4 linked regions of the Tamandua tetradactyla genome follow. The protein of the gene in region 4 interacts with the protein of the main gene of each other region in a pairwise test. Links are inferred from orthologs where the notes say so. Each region holds a gene or a part of one and is shown on either strand. Other genes may lie near its edges. The genes, in order: EWSR1, NCOA5, CHTOP and KHDRBS2.

Evidence for each region.
Region 1: the proteins of KHDRBS2 (region 4) and EWSR1 interact in a two-hybrid assay, tested with the Homo sapiens proteins (2 studies listed by BioGRID and IntAct). The two-hybrid records come from large-scale screens. The link is inferred for Tamandua tetradactyla from reciprocal best matches to the Homo sapiens genes KHDRBS2 and EWSR1.
Region 2: the proteins of KHDRBS2 (region 4) and NCOA5 interact in a two-hybrid assay, tested with the Homo sapiens proteins (2 studies listed by BioGRID). The two-hybrid records come from large-scale screens. The link is inferred for Tamandua tetradactyla from reciprocal best matches to the Homo sapiens genes KHDRBS2 and NCOA5.
Region 3: the proteins of KHDRBS2 (region 4) and CHTOP interact in binary tests that used the Homo sapiens proteins (3 or more experiments, as listed by UniProt). The two-hybrid records come from large-scale screens. The link is inferred for Tamandua tetradactyla from reciprocal best matches to the Homo sapiens genes KHDRBS2 and CHTOP.

The regions. Positions count from the first base shown.
Region 1 is NC_135331.1:33,760,939-33,768,525, forward strand, and holds the start of EWSR1 (RNA-binding protein EWS), read right to left. Parts: upstream 3,009-7,587; 5' UTR 2,621-3,008; coding exon 2,608-2,620; exon of another isoform or gene 2,418-2,607; intron 1-2,417. Other genes in the region: RHBDD3 (rhomboid domain-containing protein 3), read left to right, coding at 5,190-5,337, 7,407-7,587. UniProt on the Homo sapiens protein: Binds to ssRNA containing the consensus sequence 5'-AGGUAA-3'. Might normally function as a transcriptional repressor. EWS-fusion-proteins (EFPS) may play a role in the tumorigenic process.
Region 2 is NC_135327.1:6,165,981-6,173,051, reverse strand, and holds the start of NCOA5 (nuclear receptor coactivator 5), read right to left. Parts: upstream 3,004-7,071; 5' UTR 2,847-3,003; intron 1-2,846. UniProt on the Homo sapiens protein: Nuclear receptor coregulator that can have both coactivator and corepressor functions.
Region 3 is NC_135330.1:6,433,386-6,440,318, reverse strand, and holds the start of CHTOP (chromatin target of PRMT1 protein), read right to left. Parts: upstream 3,003-6,933; 5' UTR 2,673-3,002; intron 1,680-2,672; 5' UTR 1,663-1,679; coding exon 1,598-1,662; intron 253-1,597; coding exon 99-252; intron 1-98. Other genes in the region: S100A1 (protein S100-A1), read right to left, coding at 4,326-4,469, 5,797-5,937. UniProt on the Homo sapiens protein: Plays an important role in the ligand-dependent activation of estrogen receptor target genes. May play a role in the silencing of fetal globin genes.
Region 4 is NC_135331.1:118,113,242-118,121,201, reverse strand, and holds the start of KHDRBS2 (KH domain-containing, RNA-binding, signal transduction-associated protein 2), read left to right. Parts: upstream 1-4,951; 5' UTR 4,952-5,005; coding exon 5,006-5,096; intron 5,097-7,960. UniProt on the Homo sapiens protein: RNA-binding protein that plays a role in the regulation of alternative splicing and influences mRNA splice site selection and exon inclusion. Binds both poly(A) and poly(U) homopolymers. Phosphorylation by PTK6 inhibits its RNA-binding ability.

The sequences.
Region 1 (7,587 bases), about 84 Mb from region 4:
AGGCTACCTATATTGAACAAATTGATTTAAGATAGCCTTAAGGCATTTTCATCAGCACTACAATTCATGACGTTTATGTGACATATAAAAGTAAACCGAACCATTTCTTCCATGTGGCATTCACAAAATAAACACACCAATAAAGCATGTGAAAACATATATTTCAGCCAACATTTTGTTGAGGTTTCTGAATGAGAAATGATTCTAAATCGCTGGCATGTAAATTCTGTTTGCAATAGGACTTTTACACAAGAATAGTTATGTAAAACATAAAATTGGCAAAGATGATATGGAACTGAAGATGTGACTGGCATGAAACTAGAAGATTTCACCCTACCCTAGTGGGCTCACCAATTCCTAAGGGAGATGGCAAGTTTGTTTCATGAGAATTACATACAGCATGGATATTATATGGCCTCAAATATGCTTCAATTATACCCCGGTCAAATTATTTAGTGACCAATTGTGTTCTCTTTTTAATTCCCAAATGTGCAGCTGAAGACTTCACTAGAAATACTGGACTGGTTGGGAGGAGGAAAGAGGCTGGAATTCAGGGGGTCCTCTAGGGTACTGGCAATATTCTGTTTCTCCACCTAGGTGGTGGTTACTTGGGGAGTCTGCGTTGTAATTCTTTGTGTTCCAATGGACATAGGCTTTAGGTGCTTTTCTATATATGATATATACAAGAGGGAAAACATGCATTATTACCCAAGACAGCAGCTTTACGGCAGTCACTGTCTAAACTGTGCAGATTTAAATATTCAACTACATAATGCATTAGAGTCAGTATGGGGCAACTTTGTGGAAACCAAAATGCTTTGCTGTAAGGTCAGAAGTTAAGGACTCAAAAAGTCCCTAAAAGATCTAGCCTCGTTCACTCATTTTTACAAGAAAGAAAATTAAGGTCCAGAAAAGTTACATGACTCCCCAAAGCCTCACACCACCACCACTTCCCATCCCTGTCCTAATACTATTGTGTCTGCATAAAGCACAATTGTAATTGTAGTTTAAAAAAATCAGTCAACAACAATCAATGGAAGTTGAGTAAAACTGACCGAAAAACATGTCCAGCCATGCTGAAGGTACACATCTGCACCCCTCTCCCCAGGATTCAGCAGGGCAGGGACAGTAACATTCAACCATTGCCCATCCCAAACTTGGACAGCCAGCATTTACCCGTTTTACTAATCACACAGTACGGTAAAATGAGAAATATATCTTTAGGTTGCTAGATTACGGACCCTTTTCTGAAGAAAACTCTGAACGACCCAGAGGTTATCCTGTCTTCCCCTCTCATCTCCTCTGTTTCTAAGGCCAGGAATCAGGAGGCCTAAGAATATCTCCAGAGGCAAAACTGCTGGACCTAGCAGATAACCGCCAGCTAGGGAATGGACAGTTTGCAAAACGGCAGGTGCTTAAGTACACTTTTTAAAAATTCTCCATGCACCAAGGACCACCTCACACATCACATTCTGGAGTTCACAAGTCTGGCTTTCTTTCCATGTCTACCGAGAGCCTCTTTTCCCTCTTCTTTTAGCAGCCCACAAAATATATAAGCCTATCGGCCCGACGCAGGCTATTAAACGCGTGAAACGATTGCTTAAGCACAATTCAAATACTGGTGCCGACCTTTTGTTCCTCTTAGGTCGAAGAACCCAGAAATTTCTTTCCATAGAAATTCAGGCCTCGCAATCCAGACTGGCCTTATTATACAACAGATCTCCCTCGGCGTTTGCAATAAAAATGGACTCTAGGAATCACTTAATAGCTTTTGAGAAAAGGAGGAAGTGGAGTTTACAAATAATGAAAAAAAAAAAAAAACCCCAAAAAGCCCGAGAGGGCAGCCGATTGTGGGGTTCAAAAAGATGGAGCACATTCCGCCCAGCGCCCAGTGAAGCAGAAACTCAGCTTTGGGGCTGGAACGCGTGGAGGGAGCAGCTCGGTGGCTCCGGACTCCCCCAGCCGACCCGGCCTTAGGGATGACGGGGCTCCCGCTCATAGGCCGAGCGAAAGGCCGGCGCCCCCCGGCCCACAAATCCGCGACGCCTTTTTTGTTTGTTGTTTTTTTCCCCTAAGCTTCTCCTGGAGGTAGGGTCGCCCTCGGGCTCGAGCCACCTCTCAGGAAACGTGTGTTTGAGGGGGTAGGGTACACAGGCAGCGGGTCCACGGCTTTCCCACGCGCCAACCGGGCCGCCTCCACACGGACTTTTGCAGACGCCAACTCGAAGCCCAACCAAGCAACCACCTCCAGCCCCGCGCCCCACGCAGCGACCCAGAGGCCGCAGGCCCCGCCCACGTGGCGGGCTGCCCCGAGCGCAGGGCCGACGGCCGCCACACAATGGAGGCCTCGACGGGTCCCGCGCGCCCTCGTCACCGCGCGCCGCCGCAAGCCCCCCGCGCGCGGGAGGCGCCGGAAGATTCTAGAACCGTCCCGCCCGGTGGGGGAGGGGGGGAAACACGGGTCTCCAAGCCCGTCCGGCTGTGGCGGGCAACTGAGACCCCTCTCGGCAACCCCACTCAGTCGCCCCGGCCACCTCCAGAGACGAGTGGCCCCTGGTTTGGGCGTCCCAGTCGACGCCGGCGCGACCGCGGTTCCACCTCACTCACCCGTGGACGCCATTTTCTCTGCTTCCTCCTCGTTCTCTCAACGTCCGTCTCCCTCTCGCCTTCCCTCTAGGCGCCGCACTGCGCAGGCGCGAAGCCCGCAACCTCGGACGCTACCATGGGACCAGGCCACGGGGGTGTGGGAGGACAAGGAGGAACCTCAGCTTTCTCGCCCTTACCGCCCGCAACTCTAGTCTTAGTACTCTCTAAAGAGCGCCGGATGTGACGTGCGGGCCAAAACAGCACTGAAGGAGCCGGAGCGGCCGTTGAACAGATCTCGGTATCAAACCGAGGTAACTCTCCGCACGAAGCTGGGTTGTTCGGAATGGTTACGTCCTCTGGCTCTAGGGACCGTCTGTGAAGAGTCTGGCCTGGAGGGAAACGGAGGGCGGCGGGAAAGCTGGGGGAAGGGATCCGGGCCTAGGACAACTGCTGACTAATCGGCGGGCGGCGTGCCGGCCAGGCGGTAGGGGTCACGCGCCAGGTGTGTGAGGAATGGGCTCGGGACTCCCGGGCCTTGGCGGTGGGGTAGAGTCCTGACTCCTAGGCGGGTGCCCCGCGCGGCCTCCCCGGGGTCGAGGGCGCGCTCTGTAGTGAGTACCCTGGACACGTGGTGCGGGCAGCGTGGTAGGGGGCCGGGGGCTCATAGGCTGGGTGGGAGGTCCGAACGCTAAGCCCGGCCCCGAGAGGCCCCCACTAACGGTCGAAGTTAAGAAGGTCCCTTCGTCATCCCCATCTAACGCCCTTGTTTTTACGGAAGGGGAAACTGAGGCCCAAGGAAGTTTGGTACTTGACCCAAAGTCACAAAGTCTGACCCATACCCTGGGACCTTTAACCTTCCCACTCTCCGGAAGAACTTTTCCGTCCTTGTCTTCCCATTCTGTCTTCCCGGCTTCCTATTAAGGTAGGCAGGGCTTGATCGTTGACAGTCCCATTATATAGATGAAGAATCTGGGCCCCAAAAAGTTCAAGTCCCAGCCATGCATGTTGACGTGCAAGGTGGCCTGGGAGGGAGTGATTGTGAAAAAGTAGTAGAAGGCTTGCAGATGGGCCTTGGACCCAGACCCAGCCTCAGGGCAAGGCTCGCACTTGCAAAAGACAGGTCTCACCCCAAATTCCTTAGTGGGACCCGGAGCCAATGCATCTTTCTTTTGGTGAGCACGTATGAAGTGCTGGGTGCACCCTGGGGAGCTTGGGATAAGTGAGAGGAGGCTCCTCCATGATCTCAGACTGCCTGCCTAGGAGGAGGACAGATAAGCCAAGCTGTGCTCATAAATTAGGATAAGATCCCCAGTGTGGGCCGGCGGAGGAGGCCAAGGGGACCTTTGAGCTAGACTTCAAAGGACGAATAGGAGTTTGCCAGTTGGAGAGACAGAGGGAAGCATATTGCAGATGGAGGAGCTTTCCATATTTTTCCTGCTGGAAACTGGCAGGTGGGTTTCACTGCCAAGGATGCTCTTGGCAAGAGAGCAGGTGAGGCAGCGTTTCTTGTCTCTCTAGGGTCTTACTTCCTGGGGGGCTTGAGGCAGGGTGGCCTAGCCAGCGGTGAGGGGCTTCCAGCAGGGCTGGAGGACAGGCCGCCAGGAGGAGGGAGGACAGGCTGCCAGGAGGAGGGAGGACAGGCCTTGTCTTGCGCACTAGTGGGCCAGAGCTCGGACCAGCCAGGCTGGAGGAGTTGTTTCTAAGCCCAGGCAGTGAGCCAGTTTGGCCACCCAGAGCTGGTGACTCCACCTGCCTTCCAGGATTAGCCACTAATGTTTATTGAGTGGGAGCTGTGGGCCTGGTCCTGCTTTAGCCCATTCCTTTTGCTCTTCACCCTAGGAGGAGAGAGGCTCAGATCTGGGGAAACTCAGAGAATGGAACCTTCCTTGGGAAAGAGTAGGCCAGGGCCAGAGGGGCTGTGCCGAAGGAAGCGATTTTTCTCAATCCCGTGACATTTTGTAGAGGTGCAGGGGGCAGGACTCCTGTTTCCCTGCCTCCAACTCTTTTGACTTTACTCTCCTTCCAATCTACTTGCCCACTGGCTGGCCCGCTTTGCAGACACTGCCTTGCAGGCTCCACCCCCTGGGTCTAGGGCTGCCAAATGGCAGGAGCTCTAAGGCTGGGCACAGTGGAGGGAGGAATGGGGGATGGTGGCTGCATGAACTGACTCCCACCCAGAGAGAAGAGGGAGGCATAGGAGGGCTGGAGATGGCCCTGAATTTTCCCTGAGGGGCTACACTCCTGTTTCTGGGAGCTCTGGGCTCCAATTTGACTTCCCTGGCTCTGTGCCTTTTACCCCTGACTCCTCTTCAGTGCCCATCAGAACTCAGGGCCCTTTTTCTCAACCACTGCCCATCCTCACACAGGGGCAGGCAGAATGGCAAGGTGGCTGGGCATATGAGTTAGGGTCTGAACTCTGCCATGGTCAGGTTGTGTGGCCTGCCTCTCCAGCCTCAGTTTCCACATCTCCAACATGGAGCTGTTGGCAGGGTCATTGAGAGTGAGTCAGTGAGATAAAGTCTATGATAATAACCACTGTTACTATTCTCCTTTATTCCCAGCATCCAGCCCCAGGACCTCCCTCGACCACCCTCAGCCAAGCCATGTATGCTAGAGGCACCTCTGGCCTGCCGACCCTGGTCATGCCCCTGGCCTCCTCAGCTCTGATGCTGCTGCTGAGTGGTCTGTGGCTGGTGGGGGCTGGCCCCAGCCTCGCCCTGGCTCCGGAGCTGCTGCTGGAACCCTGGCAGGGTGAGGGCCATCCACGAGGCCTTGGAGGAGGCAGGAGACTTGCTGGGGAGCCAAGACCAGTCACTTGCCATCTCTGGGCTTTGGTTTCCTCATCTGGAAACTAGGGATATCAGCAGCAGCTCCTCTTATATCAAGGACAGTTGGACAGAGCTGCCCAAGCAGTTCCCTGAATGACTATATAATACAAAACAATTAGAATCTGATGAGTACCTATCCATCCATCCAATCATTTAGTTAGCACATATTCATTGAGCATCTACCATGTACCATACACTGCTCAGTGCTGGGGATGCAATAGTGAACAAAGCAAGGTCCTTGTTTTCATGGCATTGACATTCTGGAAGGGGGAAACAGACATGAACAAGTGAATACATAGCTGGTGCTGAGAAGAAGGTGAAATGGTGTGGGGGGAGCTGTGAGTGATAGGGCTCTTATAGAAGGCCTTCATGACAGGGTGGCATTTTCCAGAGCCCTGCAGGGGGCAAGGCTAGCAGCCAGCCAGGCAGGAGGAACAGCAAGACAAAGACTCTGAGGTGGGAATACATCAGAGTGTTTGTGGGACTGCCAGGAGGACATGGGAATGGGGTTAATGGGAGGGGGGGGGGCAGGAGCGCATGTGGGGCCTTGAGGTCTGTGGTAGGACTTCAGCTCCAACTGGAGTGCATTGGAAGGATCCCCTGGCTGCTGTGAGCAACCAACTGAAGTGGGAACGGGTTGAAGCAAGAGCCCAGTGAGAGGGTGACGGCAAAGATCCTGATGCAAGATAATGGCCTGGCCCTGGAGGCAGGGGATGCTTTGGGGGTAGTAACTGAGGGTGAGAGAATACAGGGGCAGGAGGTTTGGTTGGGGCCTGAGCTGCTCGGAGGATGGAGTTAACCACTTACTGCAACAGGGAACCCAGTGTAGAGTTTGGCTTTTGGATATGTGAAGTCTGAAATGCTGATTTTACATTCAAGTGGGAGAGTGAGTTGGCTGTTGGACACGTGAGACTGGAGGTAGCAGATTCTGTGTCAGAGATAGAAATGTGGGAGTTATCAGCATATTGATGACATCTGAAGCCTAGACTGGAGAGGATGACCATGTTATATGTCTGTGAGTGTAGACACAAAGCTGCCCATCAGATCTGGCCATGTATAGCTCATTGCAAGAGTGGCTTCCCCAGAGTGGAGGGGACAGGCATGACTAGGAAAGGCAGTGGAGGCAGTGAAGGGTGATGACTTTTAGTAGTCTTGCTGTAAATAGGAGCAGAGATGGGGCAGTGGCTGGAGAGAAAGACCTGCAGTGTGCTTGACAGCTGACAGGAACAGCCCAGGACAGGAATATCAGTGCTGCAGAAGAGAGATGACTTTGGTAGGAGTGGGATGCACCCTGCAGTGGCCAAACAGGGATGGGGCCTAGGTCCCTGGGGAAAGTTGGCCTTGGATGGAAATGTGCCCAGCTCACCCCGGGCCAAGAGAGGGCAGAGGACTCAGGTGGAGGTCGAGCAGGGTGGGGTGGGAGCCAGTGGGTGGGAGTTCTTTTCTGACAGCTTCCCTTTTGCATTGAAATAAGAGGTAAGGCCTTCAGCTGAGCATGAGGAGGGGGAGGAGGTACTGGGGGTTCCAGGAGTGACCCCAGCTAAGCACCCGTTTTCCAGTAATAATAGCTCCAATTTACATTGGAGGAAACCAAATAATTTTTGGTTTCAAGGAGGTTAAGTGGCTTGTCTAAGGTCACCAGCTGGGAATTGGGGGGGCGGGTACAAGGACTGAAACAGGCAGGCAGTCTTACCAGCACCCCTGCTCCCAGGGTGTAGGATTCAGCAAATGTGTACTTAACGCCCCCCTCCCCAGTTCCTGGGATATAGCAAGAGCCCACCAGTGGCTGCTGGCGAGAAGCCACTAGAAGACTAGTGGGTCTGGACTTTTTATAACACAACAGGGGAGTTGTCCCAGTGTTTGGAAGCCCGTGGTCCCCTCCATGAAGGTTAAGTGGGTGGACTGGCTCCTGGGGAGGGGAAGCTGGCTCAGAAGTTAGCCCTAGCGGTAGGGCAGCCCCCAACTTGCACCTATGCCCCTCCTTTCTCCCAGCACACAGGCTGCTGACCCACGCCCTGGGCCACACAGCCCTGCCAGGCCTGCTCCTGAGCTTGCTGCTCCTGCCAGCACTGGGCTGGCAGCAGGAATGCCGCCTGGGCACCCTACGGTTCCTGTATGCCTCTGTCCTGCTCGCCCTGGTGGCTGGGCTACTGGCTGTGCTCCTGGCGGGCGT
Region 2 (7,071 bases), on a different chromosome or scaffold from region 4:
AATTTTAAATTTTCTTTTGGTCACTACTCTTTTAACTTTTTGACAGTTCATTTGCGCAGAACAGTCTAGACAAATGTGTAGGACAAACTTTTTTTTTGGCACAAAAAAGCTGACGATGAGCTTTTAAAAAGCATTTATCTCAAAAACATACCATAATTATTAATAAACCACAAGGGAAACACAGTATAGTAGAAAGAGTAATTGATTTTTGTGAACACTAACACCTCAAGATGTTTGATGGGAGGATAACAAGAGAAAGGTGTACTGACATCTTCCTCTTTTGGATATCTGGTTTAGCAAGTTAAAGTCTCTAAGAAAATCTGGAGTAAGAACACAGCTTTACCTTTACATTTCTCAATTTTGCTTGACCGCGAACTCTTTTATCTCTGATAATATCTCGAATATGTTCTGAGCCACTATTTCTCATACGTAAAAGAGGATATAATACCGAGAGATTATCTCAAGATGGTCAGCAGGAGCAAATGAATTGATATTTGTAAACCTGATTTGTAAATCATATGCACTGCTGGTTGTGTTATCATTACCACTAATAGTAAGTTTAGGAATGAGCATTTATTTCATTCTTCATGTGGGGAGTCAAAAGCAAAGGAACAGCATAAACTGAAGGGAATAAAAAATTAAACATATTTCCTCCAAAGTTTTCCATTCTTAAAAGCACAACTGAATTCCAATAATTCTTCTTGTAGCAACAAGCTGTACAAAGGCACTGCCATCTGCAGGTCATAGGCATGGAATAATCGCAATGGTTTTTTAAAACAAGTTGTAAACCATCAAGCTCTTTCTCAAAAGACTTCTAAAGCCTTTTCCAAAAGATGTCTACTCCCAGCTTTTGAGCACTGGTAGATGAAGCTCTACTTGCTAAAGTTCTGAAATTTACACCTGACTAAAATCAAATTCTTATTTCTTCTCTACACAGGACTGTTTCTTGGAAATTTGATGAAAATGACCTTAGCTTTCTATGGGTTCTACAGTGTGTTTATATCAAAGTAACGCCAACAGAACTTTTTTTTTTTTTAAACAGGGAAAATTCTTTTACAAAGCCTTTGGGTTGTGTAAAAGCTTTGAATGGCCTGAGCTGATTTCTCTGAGTTTCCTTTCAAGGAATTAAGCTATATCTGCTCTCTCTCACACAAAAATAGAGCTTATAAAAAGACTATAAATAAAACAGACTATTAATTTATAAAGAACTTAATGAGCCAATGCCTCCTTTAAAGGTGTGGTGTTCATAGGCTTGCAACATTGGACAACCTGCATCTAGAAAGATTCCTTCACTGAAGTTTACAATATGGTTTCTTCAGAACATCCCACCAGGAAAATCAGTGTTTCTACGTTTTAGATTGAGACCATGCCACAGGTTTCAAAGAATATCTGGAGGGTGAAAGAACAGAGAAAAGAACTAATAGAAAGGCAAAGAAACCAAAGTAAGGAATGATTTCCAATATCCACAATGCAAAGTTAGAGCGTTACTGATTCAAAAGTTAACGCAAAGTGAGCTTTCACACCCAAGGTGACTTATTAAACAAAACAAAGCATTAAATCTAGAGTCGTCAGAAACTAAAAAAGCTCGGTCAGTGTTGGGAGAGACATAAACTGTCAGATGGCTACCACGCCGCAATGCTGTGAGAAAACTGAGGGGACACACCAGGTACACTTGTACACAGTACTTGCATTTGACAGGACCAACTACTTGCCAACAATGACAAGAGTTTACAAGAGAAAGCTTATATGATATTAATCACCATCCCCGAAGATCCCAGGGCATCTCACGGAATCTGCTATGCCTCAGGGAAAAATTGTGTGCACAGAGCCAAAGCCAGAAGGACTACAATTAATCCCATAAACCCACACTGCTAGGGTAGCGTTTCCCAAAGCGTGGAACGCAAAATAAATTTCAGGAGGAACAAGGACGCACTGTTTACTTTAACAGATAGGTATTTATTATTTTTTTTAATGAGCATTAGAAAGATAACTGGCTTTCCAATGAACGGCTTGTGATTTAAGTTTCCGTTTCGAACAAATAAATTCACGAAAGAGTGAGAAGATAACATTTAGTAAAGAGCAGTACAGGTGGTACACGGACGTGAGGGTGGAACGCGAGAGACGGAAATGTGGGAAACGCCGTCCTGTGAGAGGCCCCTGGGCAGGTGTCGGGGAGCGGAAAGCGCCCTGGGTCAGGGAACAGGACAGCCAGCAGGTTCGAGCGCTGGCTCTCTCGCCACTCTCCGGCGGAACCTCGGGCACAGTTCCCTTCCCGGTTCTCTAAACCCGGGGTCGGCGTCTATAAGATGGGTGGGGGTGGCACATGATAAGGAGACGCCCCGAGGATGCGGTCACGGGGCCGCCGGGCGGCGGCGACGGGCACCAGAGCTCCGCACGCCGCACTACGCCGCGAGAACGCCCGCAGCGGCCCGGGTTCGAGCCCCGACTGCGCCATCGACTCGCTGAGCGCCGACAGGCGAGCGACTTCACTTCGCCATTTCGAGAAGCGGGCGAAGTGCGTGCAGCCCCGCACCCCACAGAGAAGGCCGCAGGGCTAGTATCGGCGGTTCGCGCACTGAGGGGCTGCTGAGGTGCGGCGCCTCGCGACTCGACCACACCACAGGCTGTCCAGGCCCCGGGCCTGGACTTGCGGAGAGCCATGGGAGGCCGCGCCCCGCACAGGGCATGCGCAGACCCGCGCGCACCCGGAGAGGAGACGAGGCCGCGGCCGCGCGTCCAGCGGGCCCTCCCGCCTCAGCCTCCCCGTCCGGCCCCGGCCCCCCCCTTCAACCGCCTGCCAGTTCGCCCAACGTCTTGGCGGACGGCCACTGCTTCCCGGCACTCACCGCTACCAGCGCGGCGGGCTCCCGGCCGCTCCTTCTCCTCAGGCCCACCGCTGCCGCCTCCGCCTCAGCCCACCTGCCCGCTGTAGGACAAAGGCGCCACCAACCGACCGGCGCGGGCACGAGGCAATGGCGGCCGGGGCGGAGATTGGAGACGGGGGCAGAGGGCGCGCACGCAGCGGCAAGTGCGACAGTGTCGCGAGACCGGGCAGGTTTACGACAGCACTGAATTAAGGCGTCAATCACCCTGGCAATGAGGGCGGGGAAGTGGCTCTAGGGCGGTGGTTGAGCGCTGGGGGTTGCCTAGAAACGGCGTCCAGGTCTGGGCATAGGCTCTAGGCCTGCGCCCTCCTCCAAAGGGTCAATGGTCAAGTCTCTGTTCCCCACCCCGCCCCCAACCCCAGCCCCTGCCCCGGCCCTCGCTTTTAGAGCACACTCCTTCTTCTCTAACTGTGGAAATAGAACATTTCAATCCTCGAATCCTTTGCTTTTAGTCTTGCATAATATTTTTTTAACTATTGAATTTTCCAAACCCAAATTTTGACTCTTTAAGGTGGGGGATGTGTGTGGGAAGTTGTGTATATTCCTCTGACCTCCGGGATCACCTGGCACACGGAAACCAAGAGGTGGAGAAGATGTTTTATTTAAATTTACATTTAAATAGGTTTTGTACCCTATTAGTTTCACTGACAAGAGGCAAAAGGCTTTCGGAGATAGTTGCACAGATTCTTCTTGAGTTATTTGTTTCTTCCTGGAATATTTATTCAGTGTCAAGAACGGATTTCCCAGAATGTACCTGTCGACTGTGAAGCATGTAAAACATTGTACTGTTCTTTAATCTATAGAATATATTTGTCACAGGGAATGGAATTTGCTCACACAGTTTTAAATACTCTCTATCAATCACAGCCATCACTGTTTGAATCCCGTAGGCTGTTTTATTAGTTAGGAAATGCCTCAGACCCCATGGGGTCTTGTGAATAGTGAGCATGCTATAAAAAATAGTGGCTGTGACATTTGAATACACCATGGGAAGCCAGGTTTGTTTGACACCCACTCATGTGCTCACATCACTCATTTACTCACCAAATGTTCATTATACACCTGCTTGGTGGCCCTTGATTTATTATGCACCTACTTGCTAGGCATTATTGTGAGCGCTTGCAGACCCATCTCTGCTGTCTTGGAGATTACAGTCTAGTGGAGAGATGGCTTTAGGTGGATACTCACACTTGAGTGTGTCCCTGCAAACTGAGTTAAATGCTCTGAAGGAAAGAATAGGGATTCCAGAGGGTGTAACTGGAGCCCTAGTTTACCCACAAGCAAAATGGTTATCAAAATTCCTACTTTACAAAATTATATGAGATTAAAGATAAAAGCACAAAGCCTGTCAAATGATACTACTTTACAAATGTTGATTCTTATTCTTTCCTCTTTGATGAAGGAAGAATCATGATAATTAGATTAAGATAACCAAGCAAGAGATTGTTGGTTTAGGATTGTATGGCAGTTCCTTAAATCAGCGCTTGATGTATTCATCCATGCATTTAACAAACATTTAATGTGTGATTATGTGCTTGGCACTGTGGAGAATGGAGAACAAAACAGACCAGGTCCCTGCCTTCAGAGAACTTACAACCTTGTAGGGAATACAAGCAATAAACAAGTTATAGTAATATAATGTGACGAATATTTTATGATGGGGAAAGTTAATTCCGTAGGCAGACATTCTTACACAGAAGATGTCTTCCCATTTAGATGTTTGACTTACATAATAATAGGTAACATTTATTGTGTGCCTATAATGTGCTGGGTCCCTTACAAATATGACCTCATTTTATCTTATAATGTAGGTACCATTTTACAGATGTGGCCATTAAGGCCAGTTAATTTGCTTGAGAGTCTACAGAGAGCATGTGGCATGCCAGGACTCAAGCCAGCACAGCTTGCTGCCTGAACGTGCTCATTTAACTGTGTGACACCATCTTCTGAGATAAGTTCCCTTCCAAGACACGGGTACTTGAATGGTGTACAGCCTCTAAACCTTCAATTGTGGTCCTGCAAAGTTTGACCAACGAATACAAGGAAAGTCTGCTACAACGGAAGCTGCTTGATTTCTGTCAGATGGAACTTTAGAGCTCAGTGGTCCTACAATTTGGTAATGACTTTGAGCTCAGTGGTTCTCCCCTAGTAAGGGGAGCCTGAGGGAAAGAAGCTTTAGTTTAATATCCAGCCAATACTAAAGAGCATGCGTTTCCTTGGAGCCATGAGAGCTTTGCCTTGTATGACTCACAGGATGGTCAATTTGGGGCAATGAGGAATTCTACATAAACAATAACCCCTGCTGAGGAAGCAGCGTTGGTGCTCAGGAAATATTTGTTGAATGGAGTAAAAAAGTAAGAAAGGAAGAGTGGGTTCAATAGTATATTCAATAGTAGAAGAATGTTTTTGAGCTATTCATTTGCTTTTTCTCTAATCAGTATTATTCTTAGTATTTCAACGTGCTTTGTAGGTGTGAAGCCAGCCACTTCTAGGCTAATGGGGGTGGAGATTCAGGAATATCCAGAGGAAGGAGGGCCGAAAGATTTATGATAAAGGAAATTGGCAATTTTTTAAAGACAGGACTATTGAAGAGGATCAGAAAAAAATCTTGGGGTAAAATCTTCCATTTGGACAAATTCAGGGCATAATAGAGTCTATTTCATTTTCACTTTTGGATGGGTGATGGGTGAGCTGACATAAGGACCTATTCTAAACACCGAGGGGGCTCAGACACCGCCTAATGGGTTATAAAACACTTTTACATACACTTTGTATCTGATCTGATACATCACAGGAGAGGGGAAATCTAGAATTTAAGAGTGAGAGCTTTGATTAAATCAAATCTTTGGTGATAGAAGTCAGAATAGAAATTAGCTCTGGGAGATGGAGATGGAGGGGGCATAGACTGGGAAAATCTATGCTTGAGGAGACTTACAGGGCAGAGGAAAATGTGTTAATCTTGATCTATTACATGGGATATACACAAAGGTAAACGTTTACAGAGGTGTGCCCTAAAGATTGTGTATTTTACTATATGTAAAGTACACCTAAATTTTTTTTTTTTAATGAAAAGTTAGAAAATAAAAGAGTCCAGATTTGGAATAAAAAAGATCTGGTTCAAAACTTGGCTCTTCCCTTTAATATGATATGAGTTTTGGGACTCTTTTACATATTCAGTATTTTCTTAGCACCTACCAGGTATGTTTATTGGGCTAAGCTCAGGCATGGGAGACAAGACAGATGTGGCCCCTGCTTCACAGAGCTTCAACCAAGCCCCAAGTGTCTCATTTTGGCAGCAGAGATAGTAACACCTTCTTGGGGTCATGGTGAGGATTAAATGAGATGTACACACACACACACACACACACAAAACCCAATTTTATAGACTTTGAGGAAGTGATGCTTACATTAAGTGATTTGTCCAAAGTCATGCATTTACTGAGATGTTGAGGCAGAACTAGAGCTCAGTACCCAAGTTTTTAATTCAAAGTCCCATGGTTTTTCAATTGTATCCACACTTTCCCCATTATAATGTGTTTCATTTGTATAGCACTTTACATCCTGTATATGATAGCTAATATTTATAAAAACATTGAAATGACATTGAAGTAGAATTTCATATATAGCAAATAAGAAAACAAAATGAAAATTTAAATAAACAACGAAAGATTTTTAGTATAAGTGTGTTCCATGCGATATTTTGAACATGCTTATACTAAAAAATGATTCATCATTTATCTGGAATTCAAATGTAACTAGGTGTACTGTATTTTATTTGGCAACTCCACACTGAAGGAATCATCAGATATCAAATATCAAATGTTCCTGATAACCATTATTAGTTCCTACAAGATTTGTGTACAGGAAAGAGAAAGACTTTGCCAATTATTTAGTAGTCAAAGTCATTTTTAAAAATCAAACTTTCAATATCAGACAATATTGATTAACTCCCAGTTCTAAAAGATGTGGAAATCAAAATTTTTATTGAACTTCCTCCCCCAGTGATGTTTTTTTATTCTATTATGTAACACATATACAAAACAAAGAAAGAAAAAAGCGATAATTTTCGAAGTACACTTCAACAAGTAGTTACAGAACAGATCCCAGAGTTTGTCATGGGCTACCATTCCACTATCTCAGATTTTTCCTTTTAGCTGCCCCAAAACACTGGAGGCTATAAGGAATA
Region 3 (6,933 bases), on a different chromosome or scaffold from region 4:
AGCCACCACGTAACCAACCATCACATCCTGACAGCCTCAGTGGACTGCCTGACGGAGATCACCAGCTGCTTCTGGAGTATTAAAACCCATTCTCTCACCTGCTTCAGTTTTAATGCTGCCTGGACAGAGGGTCTATTCTCCATCTGCTGGGCCAGTCTTCTGTTTCTGGCACTGGCTAGCTGCTGTTGTTGCTGCATCGAAGCCCGAATATTCACTGGCATCGGTTGTTTGTTCTTCAGCATATTAGTAAAGCTTCAAGGTCGAACAAAATGGATGTTTAAATAAAAGCTTTATTATAAAACATTTATTGGCATTTTCATGGCTTGCTAGATCAGGAGCTCCAGATCCCACGAACTTTTAAGTAAAGTGGTACACTTAGATCAAGGCTGATGTGGGTTAAAGACTCCTCTGTTTCCACAAACTTGCAAGAATCAGAAACTGAGAAATGCAGCTAAGTGCGGCACATTCAATCAAAAGTGATAACAAGGGCTCAGGTAACGGCTTTTAGAGAGGTGGAAAATATGAAAAACACGCAATAAGCAGATACGATGACAAGAGACAGAAAATGTAGTTTCAAAGACAAATGAAGAAAACCAAAACCTTGGAAGACCCGAGGGTGCATTCTAAGGGCAAATATGAAGAAGGATTAGAGTACCTTCAAAGCCATACTAATGGGATATACAAACACCCACATGCATTTTAGGAATATATCACATTTTTCTATATTTATTCACTTAGTTGCATGTGAACATGGATAATTAATTATAGTACTGTACCCTAAAAGACAGAAGCACATATGTTTCAGAAAAGCAAAAACATATATTAAATAAATCTTAGTGGTCTATCATCAACTTAATAAAATGACCAAAGGCACTCAATGAATAAAGCTCCTCAAGATAGAAACTGCCTTTACACACCTTTTCTCAGTTTTGAATGATCACCTTTTCTGGCTCCATATGATTACTTCTGATAAAGTTATATTAAGTGACATTAGCTGAATCATTTAGGAGCCTGTGAAGACACTTCTCTATTACTCCTGTCAAGGTAAGTTTAATGAAATGGAAGAGAACACGTAATGTTTACAGAATACAAAACAAAAACAAATTAAAAGCAGAATGGAAAGAAAGTGAAATGGAGCAAAGCAAGTGCCTCTTACAAGGTCCAAGAACAACATTCAAGGGCCTTTGGACAGATTCACGGCTTGCTACCTGCCTCTTACAGGCCAAACACAACACTGCTGGCCTTGGACTGGGCAACAAGCCAACTGCAGCCAGGGTACCATGCTACCACGCTGCACCACCCCTGTATCAATGTAAAAAAAAATGTGAAGAAAAGGGAGGGTGTGAGGAGTCCTTTTCAAATACATCCCACCAGATAAATGTTTCAGACAGCTTAACATAAAAAGCTACTGATAAGGGGTTTTGAAACAACCGCCCAATTTGTTTTGTGTACCACATAAGATGCAACTAGGAACAGAGGTCTGTAGCCTTCTGTTGGTATCTAGTTAGTTTAAAACCGGTTTTTGTGCATTGGACCCCAGGGCCAATTTAACAATGTTTTCTTATGAACGCGCTGAAGTTGCTGTTGGCTGCCTCACCGCTCATTTAGAGACATCTTGGTGGTGCTTTTTAGCACAACTTTCGGTGCTGATTGTGCAGCCATCTTCAAATCCCGAGAATCTACAAAGGACAATAGACAGAATGAGCAGAAAAGCAGAATGGCCATTTCTACAAGGGCCAAGGCCCACACCAACAATGAATTAAAAGATTTGTATCACTGACAATTGTTATCATGATGAGCATATCAAAACTCACTTCAGGTGCTTACCTTTGTAAGACTGTTACCTCAAACTATAAAAACTTCACTGCTACAGAACAGAAAGTATCTGCCAAGTCTCCAAAGATGGCAGAGCCAGAGAGCACTAAATAAGTGCTAATTTTGGCTTTCAGTCTAGAGTAGTCATTCTTAATCTTGACTGCATGTGACTTACCCTGGGAGTCAAAAAGAAAAAAACAAACAAAAAAACACCGAAGTCTGGTCCCAGACCAATTAAACTACCACCTTCTAAGGTTTGGATCTGGGGATTAGCAATAGTTTTTTTTTTGTTGTTTGCTTTTTTGTTTTTTTTAAAAAAGCTACCTGGGTGCTCCTATATGCAGCCAAAGTTGAGAATTACTGATCTAGAGGGAAGATACAAGCATGACCATGAGTGGTTTCAATACTGACTTTCGACTCCAAAACTTGCAGCGAGCTTAACAGGGAACTAGGAACCTAAGGGAAGGACGAGAAAAGGTTTCCTAAATGGGCATTCACCAGGAAGTTAGCTCCCAGAGAGCCCTCCACAGTATTTAACCCTAAAGTCATCATTCCAACATTCCCCAAAGCCCCGTAGTCCTCATTTCACCTCCCTACCATCTCAAAGTCCCGTCAAGGCCGCCAACTTTGTTCAAGACGCTAAGTTTCCTTTCTTCCACTACTGTATCCCAAACTTCTCCATCAAACCCCACCAGTTTCCAGTTCCGCCCCTCCCCCGCTTCCTCCTCCGGGCCTCCGCCCCCTCCCTGGGCCTCCACGCTCCAACATGGCAACCTAACTTCTCCCACACCCCACTACCCCATTCCGCGCCCGCCAGCTCGGCCCGCTCCCCAACACTTTTCCCCTCTTCTTCTCACCGCAGAAACGCACCGAAGGAAACGGACGCCAGTGCTCCTCCCGGGGCGGCCACCACGGCTAGGCAGGCAGGCCGGAGACCGGCCGAACCCGAGTTGACGGCGGGGGAGCTCGGGTTAACTTGGTGGGCGGTTGATTAGATACGAAGGCGGTAGGTTGCTAGGTTAGCTCGTGGTTGTCCTCGGCTGTTTGGCCGGCCGGTCTCTGTGCTCACCCGGCCTGCCCTTTCCTTCCTTTCGTCCGTGCTACCACAGCTGCCACCAACTCCCGCTCGGTGTCCAAAACAAAATGGCCGCCACGCCCGGTGCGGAGTGGGGCCGGCTAAAATGGCGTCGACGCCATTACATCAGACGTCAGATCCGCGCACAACCGGGGGGCGGGGAAACGTTTGTGGTACGCCCGCGCGGGGGCCAGGGGTGGGGCTCGAGGGAGAAGGTGGGGTTTTGCCGAGGCACGTTTGCGTAACTACGCCGCGCTCGGACGGCGAGGGGGCGTGGCTAGCGGACCCGGGATCGGGGCGGACGGGTGTTCTGGCCCGTGGCGTCAGGACTTAGCACCGTACTCTCCCTGGGTCGTGGCTAGTCACGGACGCTGAGAGGGGCTTGTGCCCCGATGAAAAATGAAACTTGTGTTCTGTCGCCCTTTCCCCAGTTAAGGCAGACCATCTAAAAGTCTTTACTGGAGATTCTCCCCGGTTTTTTTCCCCCGGACCCCCGGACCCGGGGCGTTTACTGTTTTTTCCTTTATCCTCATAAGCCCGGTTCAGCGTTGAGAAGTGCCGCCAGCCGGGGCCGCGGAGGCCGCTTTAGGACACACACATCCCCGTCCGTATTTTCCTCTCCACTTCTTTCCCTCCCGCAGTTGGTCTGAGTGCTGTTTAAGCCTTACTGGGGAGGAGGGGAGACGTTTGTGTCCCTTCCGCGCCCTCCTTCCCCCTTGCCTTCCGGACCTCCCATCCCTAGACCTGTGGGGTTTTCCCTGTGGTTTGGTCCATAACAAAGTGCTCCTATGTTTGAGGAATGAGGGAATGAACTCATCCTGAATCTCTTCCTTTACCCCGTATGCACTCATGAGGAGCCATTTATTTTCCTTCCTAGAACGTGGCTTTGTGTGTGTTTAGTAGTCTAAACACACACACGTTTTAGACTTTACATGGCCCAAGTCCAGTAAGGACAGGAATTGTGTCTTGTTCACTGCTCTATCCCCGGTTCCTTCAGAACACCAGCTTAGGGTTTTCAGTAAATATTCTTGAGTGTTGAGGGAGAGATTCTTCTGGCTCTATAGCTTAGAAGCTTCCAGCTGGAAAGTTGAAACCCCACGTTCATGGGCCTTGAGCATTTCTCAAGTAGGACTGTATATGCCCCCCCCTCCCCCCAGTAAGACACCTCCCGGCGGCGTAAGGCCTCTCCCCAAATTAGGCAAATTGGAAGTAAGCAGCTCTCCAACATTTGGGCTACAGAAGAGGCAGACAGTGGGTGGCTGGCCAAAGAAGAGCCTTTAATGTAAGTGCACTTGCAGGCCTGGCCCACTACTCTTGTGCCCTTGATGGGGATGGGAGGAGCGTGGGGAGGGGAAAGGGGGTGGGAGGTAAGCCGGATCAAAGGGCAGATCTGCCAGGGTGGAGGGGAAGGGCGCTGCCCACTGGGGGTGTCTGCTCAACTGTTCTCCCAGAAGAAGTTGTTACAAGCCACGGTGAGGGCGGCCACCAGCACCACGTACTCCTGGAAGTCCACTTCTCCGTCTCCGTTCTCATCCAGTTCCTTCATCACCTTGTCCACCGCGTCCGCATCCTTCTGGGCCTGGGTGGGGGAGAAGGGGAGAGGGGGAGAGGCGGTGGCACGGCGAGTCCAGCGTGCCTGACGCTGAGTTAGGAGCAAGGAGGGTCGTTGATTGAGAAGGAGGCAGAACTACATCGAATGGGACTCCTGTGCTCCCCTCCTCAAAACCCCAATACCCATGGGCTCCTGTTGCCCACAGGATGAGCTCCTCCACAGCGCGGAGTAACGATGGTCACAGCTGTGACCATCCTCGGAGTGCCTTCAATGTGCCAAGCTCCACAGGCATTGTCTAATTCCTCACAAAAATAGATTTTTTTATGAGAGGTAGATTTCATTATTCCCAGTTTAGAGAAGAAACGAATTGACAGTCAGTGGTTAAGCAAGCTGCCAAAGTCACACAGCTTGAAAGTGATAGGGTCAGAATGCAAATCTGGGTCTATAAATAAATAAAAATAAAGTGTCTGTGTACTTCCTACTGTATCCTGAAGGTTCTCTTTTACCGTAGGGCCCCCGTTTGCTTTTGTGGCCTAATTTTGTGCATCCTTCACTCCAGTCAAATTAAACTTAGCATGCTCCACCTTCTTTTCTTCTCTCATGTTTTTATTCATGCTGATACTGCCTCCTAAAATGTCTTCATTTACCCCAATAACCTGCCAGTGGAAATCCATGGCTCAAGTGGCATGTCCTTGGAAAAGCCATCCCACTGTAATCAGGTTAATGTTCTCCCATCCCCTTGCAGGTACCTCTAAGAGCTCTTTGTACTTCCGGCCTTGTTATTGATGAATCTATACACAGCCTTCACTTAACAGGTGATCAAGAAACCAGGGCATTTTTGTTGTTTTTAAAAAATATTTTCGGTGATGAATCTTAGCACACATACATTCCACACATGTACAATCAGTGGCTCACAATATCATCACATAGCTGGGTATCCATCACCATGATCGATTTTTAGAACATTTGCATCTCTCCAGAAAATGGAATAAAAAGAGAAAAGAAAAACTCATACATACCATACTCCTTACTCTTCCCTCTCATTGACCACTAGTATTTCCAACTGCCTGATTTATTTTAACCTTTGTCCCCCCCAATTATTTGTTTATTTTGTATCCGTATTTTTTACTCCTCTATCCATATGCTAGATAAAAGGCGCATCAGATGCAAGTAAACCAGGGCATTTTGAGTTGCACCAGGAAGAGTAGGGGGGCCTGGAAAAAATTCAGGAGAGGTCTAGGAGAGCAGGGAGAAGGCTGGGCTGAGTGGGGGTGGGGTGGGGCGGGACTGGAGATGACAGGAGCGTGTCCACCCCATTCTGCCCACTTGCCCATCCCACCCTCTGCCCACTCACGTCCAGGAAGCCGGAGAGCTCGGTCTGCAGCAGCTCTTTCAGCTCCTTCTTGCTCAGCTTGTACTTGTCCCCCTCCTTGCCGGAATGGGTGTGGAACACGTTGATGAGGGTCTCCATGGCCGTCTCCAGCTCAGAGCCCATTGCGGCAGCTCACCTGTTCACCCCCACACACAAGCACACACGCCATGGAAGTGAGTGGGGGACCAGACCCAGGGCATCCGGGGTTGGGGTGGCGGGGAGGAATCTTGGTCTCAAGCCTGGCTCTACCCCACAGTCCGAACCCTCACGAGATGGGAGCCCCACAGCAATTCACCCTTCACTGAGATATTATAATAGGGAAAACTCAGGCAGAACTAAATCCAGTCCTGCTCTTTGGGTCCGTTAATCCATATTCCAGCCAGACAGGGTTTGGGGCATTGGAGAGAGAGTGACTGGGCTGGCTCTAGAGGCCTGAGGAGGGTGGGGCAGGCAGAAGTGGTCACAGGGCCTGGCCAGGCTGCCTCTGAATCTATTTTTACCCTGCGCCTCATTTGCCCGCATAGCCGGGCTCTGTGTGCTATTGGGGACAGTGAGCTGGGGTCCTTTCCATGGTCTTGACTCTGTGGCCCACCATTAGCAAGGAGTCAGTGTGCTATTCTTGGTGAGCCTGAATGGAGGGGAGACAGTCGGAGTGAGTGGCCTAAGACTCCTTGGGGGGTTTTCACAGCCATTAAGCTATCTGTCAGCAGCTTGGGGGCTCCTTTTGGTCCCTCAACTTTGTTCTTTCCAGAACACGTCATTTTGGCTTCCCTGAGGTAGGCCTCTCATTGCCTCTGGTTCAGCTCCTCTTGCATCTCTGCAGAATCAGCCTTTCCCTTGGAGGAATGGTGGGAACGGACAGGAATGTCTGAGGCTTATCCCTGGAGCCAGGGCTCCCAGGGAGGGGGAGGGGAGACCTGTAGGGCCTTGTCTCCCCAGGCCTAGCCTGGTTGATGTGGGGACAGTGAGAGAAGGGGGAATGGGGCCGGTGTGTATTGGGGAAGATAAAGACTCAATTCCTGAGGTCCTTTGAGGGGCTGGGAGGGAGAAGAAGAATGGAGAGGACTGCTGAGGCTGGAGAGGGGAGACCGTCAAGCCAGTGGGTCTCTTTCCTTTGTC
Region 4 (7,960 bases):
CAGTTTTCAGTGGTTAGTGTTCTGTGGCATATAGCATAAATTGTAGCTATGAAAACATAACGTGAGAGAGTTCCCATTGTTCTATGGTAGTGCTATTGGTATCAGAGCCAAATCCCCTTCGCCCTCTCCTTTCTTGCAAGCTTAAATTACATTATGGAAGCTATAGAAGAAGCTGGAACTGATTTCCCTTCTCTTGTTAGTGAAATTACAAGAAACAAAAACACTCAAGTAGCATCTTCTGTGTAATAGGCTTTGCCAGACACTTAGGTAGGTGAAAGTGAGTCAGTCAGTATTTCAGTTCCTTATACTCTATGCTAGGCACTGAGGCTTTAGAGGGCAAAATTAACATTACCCTTGGCTTACTATTATAATTAAATAAATTATTGGGGTGCTACGGTTTCATTGAACCATAGTTCTTGCTGTCAGTGAATCCCTAGATATATAGAAAAAAGTACAAGTATACCCAAAGTTGGTGAGAACCATGAACAAAAAAGAAACTGCATTTTATTAATAAAATATATATATATATATTTTACTTCTTAGTCTGAAATACTTTCAAACGTACAGGACAGTTATAAAAATAATGCAAACCCCATAAAGAGAACTCCAAAATATCCCCACTCTTCAGATCTCCAGACCTTTCAATTTTAATTTTTTGCCACATTTACCATATCATTTTGTCTTCTATCTATCTTCCAATCATCCATCCATTGATCCATCCATCCCATTCCACCCATCCATCCACCCATCCATTTACCCATTTCCTGAACATTTGAGCATAGGTTAGATCTATCATGATTCTTGAACACTTAATTTTGCTATTTCCTAAGAACAAAGATATTCATTTACATAATGACCTTAAGTGAAGTTATCCTGTGCAAACAATTCAATATTGATATAAAGCCTACAATTTTTTTTTTTGTGCTCAGATAATGCCCCTTTGAGCATTACCTTTACTAGATGCCATCAAGGGTGATGTGTTGCATTTAAATATTATTGTCTCTTTAATTGTTCTTATTGTTTTTAATTGTGGTAGCATATATAAAATATACATTCTTCCATCTCAATCACTGCCAAGCAAACATTCAATGGTATTAGTCACATTGTCAATATTGTGATACCCTCACCACCTTCGATTTTTATTTTTGTTATAATGGTTTTCAGTTTTGTTTCCATCTCTCTATTGATATTCCCTTTGCATTCATCTATGATTTTTCCAATTATCTTTAGTTCTTTTTCCATGTTTTCTTTTAGCTCTTTGAGCATATTTAGGATCATTTTTAAAAGTCTCTGTTGCATCTTAAGTCTTGTTCTCCTTATTGATGGAGTCTAGTGCTTTGGTCATTGCTTCTTGTTCCTTTGTAAATTTTGTAAGCCTTTGTTGAAACTTGGATATTCTGATATTTTAATGGGTTTTCCTCTGTATCATGTGTTCCTTAAGCTTGTATCCAGCTACTGTTATGACTAAGTTTTCCTTGAATGTCAGGAGCTAACACAAAAACAGAAGGAGGAAAAAAAGGAAACACTTTTCCCAGTCTTTGCAAATTCATCTATGAGAGGGCTCTCCCTCTGGACTTACTACACAAAGGGTTGCATGAGAAGAGCTGCAGGCCAAAGCCTCAAGGCCTGCCCTGATCCTTTCTATGGCTGTGTCTTGTCTTGGGCATGCCTGTATGGTCCTAGGATTCCCCTATTTACTTAGTTATGAATGTCTCCTCTTACCTAAGAAATAGTTTCCTCACTGCACTCTATGTCCTACAGCCAGCAATTCCTTGTCTCAGGAAGCACAACTTGCATTGTGTTGGAGTGCTCTCTGAGCAGCCTTCTACATGCAGGGCCAAGTAGTGGGAGAGTAAGTCCCTTAGGCCACACCAGAGAGAATAGGCCAGGCATGCATGCTCCCAGCAGGTGCACGAGGGCCACTCTGCTCCCTCTGGAAGAGGGACTAGAGATTCACATGGAAGAAGGCTGGCTCCTAGCAGAGCTGATAATGAGTTGGGGTGGGGCCAGCGAGGACGCCACAAGATCTTATCGATTTAAGTAGACTTTTTTTCTTGATTTTGGTGCTTAGTCTGTTACTGAAATCTTTCAAGTGTTTTCAGAAGTATTGACAAAGATGTTTCTGCCTGTTCTTGCTGATCATGGAAAACTTCTGTGAGGGGATGGAATCCTGAAGTATCTTACTCTGCCATCTTGATTGTGTGGGGTATTGTGTATTTTATTATAAAGATTAGGTACTTCTTATTAGAATGCAAAGATAAGCCTGATTGAATTCCCTCTAGCCTGGCCTTTCTTCCAAGATTTGTGTGAAAGTGTTGAATGCACAGTTTGTGCAATAACCACTATTGTACAGTGGATGCCTTATTTATGTTTCTGAACCAAATATGGTTGTAGTGAAAACTTTCATAATACCTCATTTGAAATGGAGAGAGGAAGGGAGGGGGGGGAAACAACAACAGAAACTTTAAGGACCTGAACAGATGTTTGAAATGAGATAAATCTTTAGCTAAGCCCATAGCTAAGCCTAAGTCAATCAGTGGTGATTCAAGTTAAGTTATTTATACCATTAGAAGAGGTGGACTACCAGAGGCTATACATTTTTTCACATGTATAGGCACATAGTATTATCTATTCAACAATCAACTGCAGAGGGCCTTCTATCTTTATGTTTATAAAATGTTTGCATTTGTAAGGTAGCTCTGAGAATAGTCACTAAATAACTGTGCCACCTATAAAATTTTTATCTGTGAAGTTAACCAAGAAATGCAGTGACATGGAGCCATCTATTGAAAACAGAAGGATGTGGTGCTGAATGAGTACATGTGTAGGGCAATTGAGAGTTTGCCTTTGTTCAAAATATTCTGTTTAGAAATAGGACAAGTCTTTACATATTGATTCTTAAGAGCACAGAGGCTCTTTATGTAAAGTCTAAGTGATGAGTTATATTAAAGACATTTAGTATCTCTCTGAAGCAATAATTAAGAATTCAAGTAATGTAGTTTATATATCTTTTCTTATGATGTCCATCGTGTGCTAAGTGCAAAAACCGTATTCTTTTCCCTAACTCTTTGATTGGTTTCCTCTGGACCCTTATTGCAGTCAGCAATTACCAGTTCTCTTGTGTTCATTTTCTTGGTCTTTCCCCATTAGAAAATCATCTCTATGACGGTAGGAAAGACAGCATGTATTTCATTCACCAATAGTTTTCCAATTTATAGCATACTGCCTATACTCTTCAATATTCAACAAAACTTTATTGAATGCATACGTGCAAAAACAAATTTAATAATTAAAATACAAAAAAGATTGGCTAAGGCATTATAATCTGGAACTAGATGCTACCAAATAGGCTTCATTACAATCTCAACTTTATCATTAACTAACTGTGAATTTTGGGTCACTGAAATTCTCTGTCTCTGCCTCAGTTTCTACATCTATAAAATAGAGAAATTAATATTTTCCCAGTGGATGTGAAGGCATTTTTAAACACTACAATTTCGAGATAATCCCCTGGCTTTATCTAAGCACATGTACACACATGGAAGAGATTTTATTGAAGTAAGTGTACCTCACAAAGTTTCAGCAAGCTTTATTTGTAGAGTGGTGGACCCTCTTCCTCCCGCACTAGAATTTGTGGAGGAGGGGAAATTGGAGAATGATGGTTTGTGAAAAGAGTTTTCAAGACCATGGGAAAGATTGCTTCCTCGCTTTTGAAGCCCACAAGCTACATTTTAAAGCATCATTGGTGAGAGACCTATGGATTGTGCATCCATTGTTGGTAATATGGAGAGGATTTAACTCTCTCTTTAAATAGAAGTGGACTAGATATAAAGCAGCTCAACAACAGTACCTGGTGAAAGCGACTGTCACATCTAAATTAAGGAGAAAGGGGAAAATTAGAGCATTCACATTTTCTAGAAATTAGAAAATTAGGGTTACTAATTTTCTAGGCTCTTCCTGTCTCCACATCTCTTCCCAATTCCCTCACACACGTTAGCCGATTGATTATGTCGATTTTCAGTTTTTAAATTCAGCGACCTCCGCCCAACCCTTTCTTAGGGGCAACAATTAAGGGAAAGCGCAGATGTGAGAGAAATAAGAACTAATTCAATACCCCAGCTGTTGTACACTGAAGCTTACTGTTGGATAACAATATAGCCCCAGAAGGGCTTTATTTGTTTATCAATAAACATCCTACTGCGTCCCTGAGATGTAGGTCAGGCTCATCGGAAATGCCAGCCGCCGATCACATGAGGTCTTCATTTTATTTCCAGACCCGGTGCACTGTTTATTCCTGCACAGCACGAGTGCATCTGAGCGGCTTGAAAGAGAGGAGACACCTGTGCCTTAGGGACACAGGTGATGTCCCATCTACCTTCTTAAGACTTTTCCTGGCGCTTTCCCATTCCCTTTCCTTTTTTCTCCTCAACCCCACCTCCTTGGTCTCGAGCTTCTGCATTTAACAGGTGCTTTTCCTGCTCCCTTCCCTCTCCTTACCGCGGTTGAAGACACAGAGGTCTCCTCAGAACTGGGCATGCCTAATAACCAGGGAAGGCTTGGGCTGCAAGAAGAAAGCTTTTGCGCCTTCTGCGCTCCCCTCCCTTCTGCAGCTGCCTCCTGCCAGTCAGACGATTCGACGTGCAGTGCAGTCCAATGAGGGTCCGCAGCCTTCGCGGGGACCCCGCCTCTCGAGCACCGCCACCAATGAGTAGCCGGAGGAGGTGGGACGCGCCCTGTTCCCGCCTCTCCAGTTAAGGCCACTGGTGTGAGCGGGGGCTTGGCGCGAGCGAGGGACAAGGGAAGACACTGGCAGGTGTGGGCGCGGGGCCGCGCAGTCCGACGGCGGGAGTCACCGGCGCTCGGTGCATGGGCCAGTGAGGACCGACGGAGATCCCCTCGCCGCGGCGGAGGCGGAGCAGCGCGGGAGCTCGGGGCTGCCCGGCGACCCTGCGTCGGAGCGAGCGGAACGTTGCGCTTCGCCCGGGGACGGTCCGAAGTCCGCGCTATGGAAGAGGAGAAATATTTGCCTGAGCTGATGGCAGAGAAAGATAGCCTGGATCCATCTTTTGTGCACGCATCGCGTCTTTTGGCAGAAGGTAGGACCTGCCCCTCCGATGGGCTCGGACCTCCCGGCCGCCCTACGCTCCCGCGACGGGGTTAGGGGAGAGAAGTTGGGGAGGGACGTCTGTCTCCGCGTTGGTAAAAGCTGTTCCCCCTGAAGATGCTCGCTTCAGAGCTCTGGCAGACGAAGCCCGTGCTTGGGGCAGGCAGCTATGCTCCTTCTCCACGTTTTAATTTGGGGAAAACTCAAGCTGCGAGAGCTAATGGCAGTCGTGATGATGTGACTTGTTGGGATCATCGATAGTCAAAGAAACCGTAAAGTGTAACGCGGTCTGCAAGAACCTTTTCACTTCGCAGAGGGAAGAGAGAAATCAGTTTCGAAGTAAATGATTATCCGTGTAGTGTTCTAAGAGCTTCGTGACTGTAGATCAGCATTTTTTTTTTTTTTGGCTGCATTTTGCAAATGATTTTGAAACCTTTTAATCTAATTACAATCTAGTTCCTATGGGAAGTATTAGGAATAACCTAGATGAAACTGTGCATGTTCTTATATGTATGTGAGTGTCGTAAGCAGGGACTAAAGTGGTTATACATTGACTTGAAGTGATGATCGGATACGTTTCGAGGTATTGTTTCCTAGGAACACTTCACAATTGATCATCTGTTTAACTAAGTGTACATTTTCCTTTGTGTACCTGTAATTTTAAAGGAGCTTTCATTCCCCGAGAAATATTTGTCTTTTAAAATTATTTTTTGCATTGCTTTGAAAGGATGTCTTAAAAAAAAAGACACATAAACACAACTTCTGAATGGCAGAAACATTACGTGAAATAATGCCTTCTAACAACGAAAGACACTTGGAATATCTGTAGTAATCTACACACACTTTTCTTTTTAACAACTACAGATTTTCTGGGGGGGATGAATACTTCATTAATAATAAATTACTTCATCATAAAATTGGCTACAATGCAGTTTTTAGCTTGGGTTGTTATAGTCTTAGCTATAGTAAAACTAAAAGTGACAATTTCCTTTTCCCCAGTCCCCTCAGCATTAAAAGGAGTGTTTTCTTTTTGAAGCAATTTATATGGAAGGAAAAATTTTGTTACTCCACATGTGAGTGAAATAGACAATTTTATTTTAATATTTTATTGATGGAGTGTTGCTTAGAACAAGTCAGCATAAATTATTTTCTGTCTTTTTGAACTAAACAAAATGATTTACAGTCAGAATCTGAAATGTGTGATTGAAACAAGTAAGTTGCTTTTCAAGAAAGAGGCAGATTTTGCAGAGGTTTTGGGAAGGGTAAAGTGCAAGTATGCGTACTACTTTGGTTAAAGAATGGAAAAAATAGAAATTAAAGCTTAAAAGTCAATTAAAAATTAAAATCTCCCTCAGGTATTAGAAAACTTAAGGCAGCAATATGAAATAATAAGGATATTGGAGAATAATGAAGCTATAAATGCTTGATGGTTCAAAATGGATTAAAAATGCTTTTAAGACACTTCAGATACTTCAATATATTTTCTAGAAGTGTCTTCATTTAGGTGATAATGCCTCAAAAATGAAAAGAAGTTAAAAATTGATCTTTTTCTCTGATTTGTTAATTGGAGTCCCCTTTGGAACAACGGGCTCAGATTTCATAGATCATTAGTACTTTTGAAAATTGCCAAACTAAGACAGTACACATGACAAATTCTTAAGAGTACATAGGTACTTCTGTGGCTTGTACAGTAGAGAAGAATATGTACTTGGGTCTTTAACACTTTATCTTTCTCAGGAATTGGCTTTCTTGATACTTAGGAACATGTTCTGATAAACTGTGTAATTTGAGTTTTTCCCAGTAGGGGGAAGCATGCCCTGCTTTTATAAAGAATTAAGAGGAAAAGCACCTAAATAGAGGGGGAAAGCATTTAAGTAAGAAACAAAGAGAGGTTCTCAAATTCCAGAGAAATCGTACAGAGGAAAGGAGAGTGGAGGTGATGATAATCTTGGGGTCTTCAAAGACTTATGCAAAAAGACACAGAGCATTTTAAATTACTTCTCTGATTGTACCGCGGACTCTTGATATGTGCTTTTAAAGTGTATAAGGTGAATGTCTTTTAGAGTCGCTAATAAATTTTATTGTACATTTCTTATCCTAGATCTTTCATTATCTTTCCAAAGGCCATTTGCCAGGCTTTCCAGGTTTTTGTTTCAGATTCTTTAGCAGAGCGTGCTTGAGATGATTTTCTTTCTTACACTTGGAAATGCACTGATTGAAGGCAATGCCTATAAATAAACCTGACATAGATATTCATTTGGAAGGAAGGTGTGCACTGAAGTACATTTCAGTCAGTACTGTGCAGACAATCTCAAGACTGAGTGAGTAATAAAAATGATGCAGATGATTCAGTTCTTGGGAATGATTTTCCGGAAGACAGTATATATAAAGGTAGTGATGTAAACCAATAAGCTTTCACAATGATTTATTTTGATTTTTGATTGGTAGTAGATGCAGATCAAGTGCTCAATTGTGTCTACATTGTTTGGATTGAAGACTGAGGCGTTAAATCTACTAGTTTGTTGTGGGTTTTTTTTGTTTATTTTTGTTGTTTGTTTTATTTCACTTGCTACTGCTGTGTATTTTCAGTAGGGATGGTTCTGAGAAAGCCTTAAACAATACTTAAAATACTTAAAAATACTTAAATAATCTCAATATTTTATTGTTATGTGAGTAGATCTTAAATAAAATGGTTTCAAGAGTGCTTATAGTATCTTTGAGTAATTAAAATAATTTTTCTCCCATGGTTATAACGTTGTTGAATTAGCCCTTTGTTATGGAAGATGCTTTTGAATATGATAAAACAGCAAACGCAGCATGATCTTAAAGTTCCTCTCGACCTCTGAATTTGCTTGC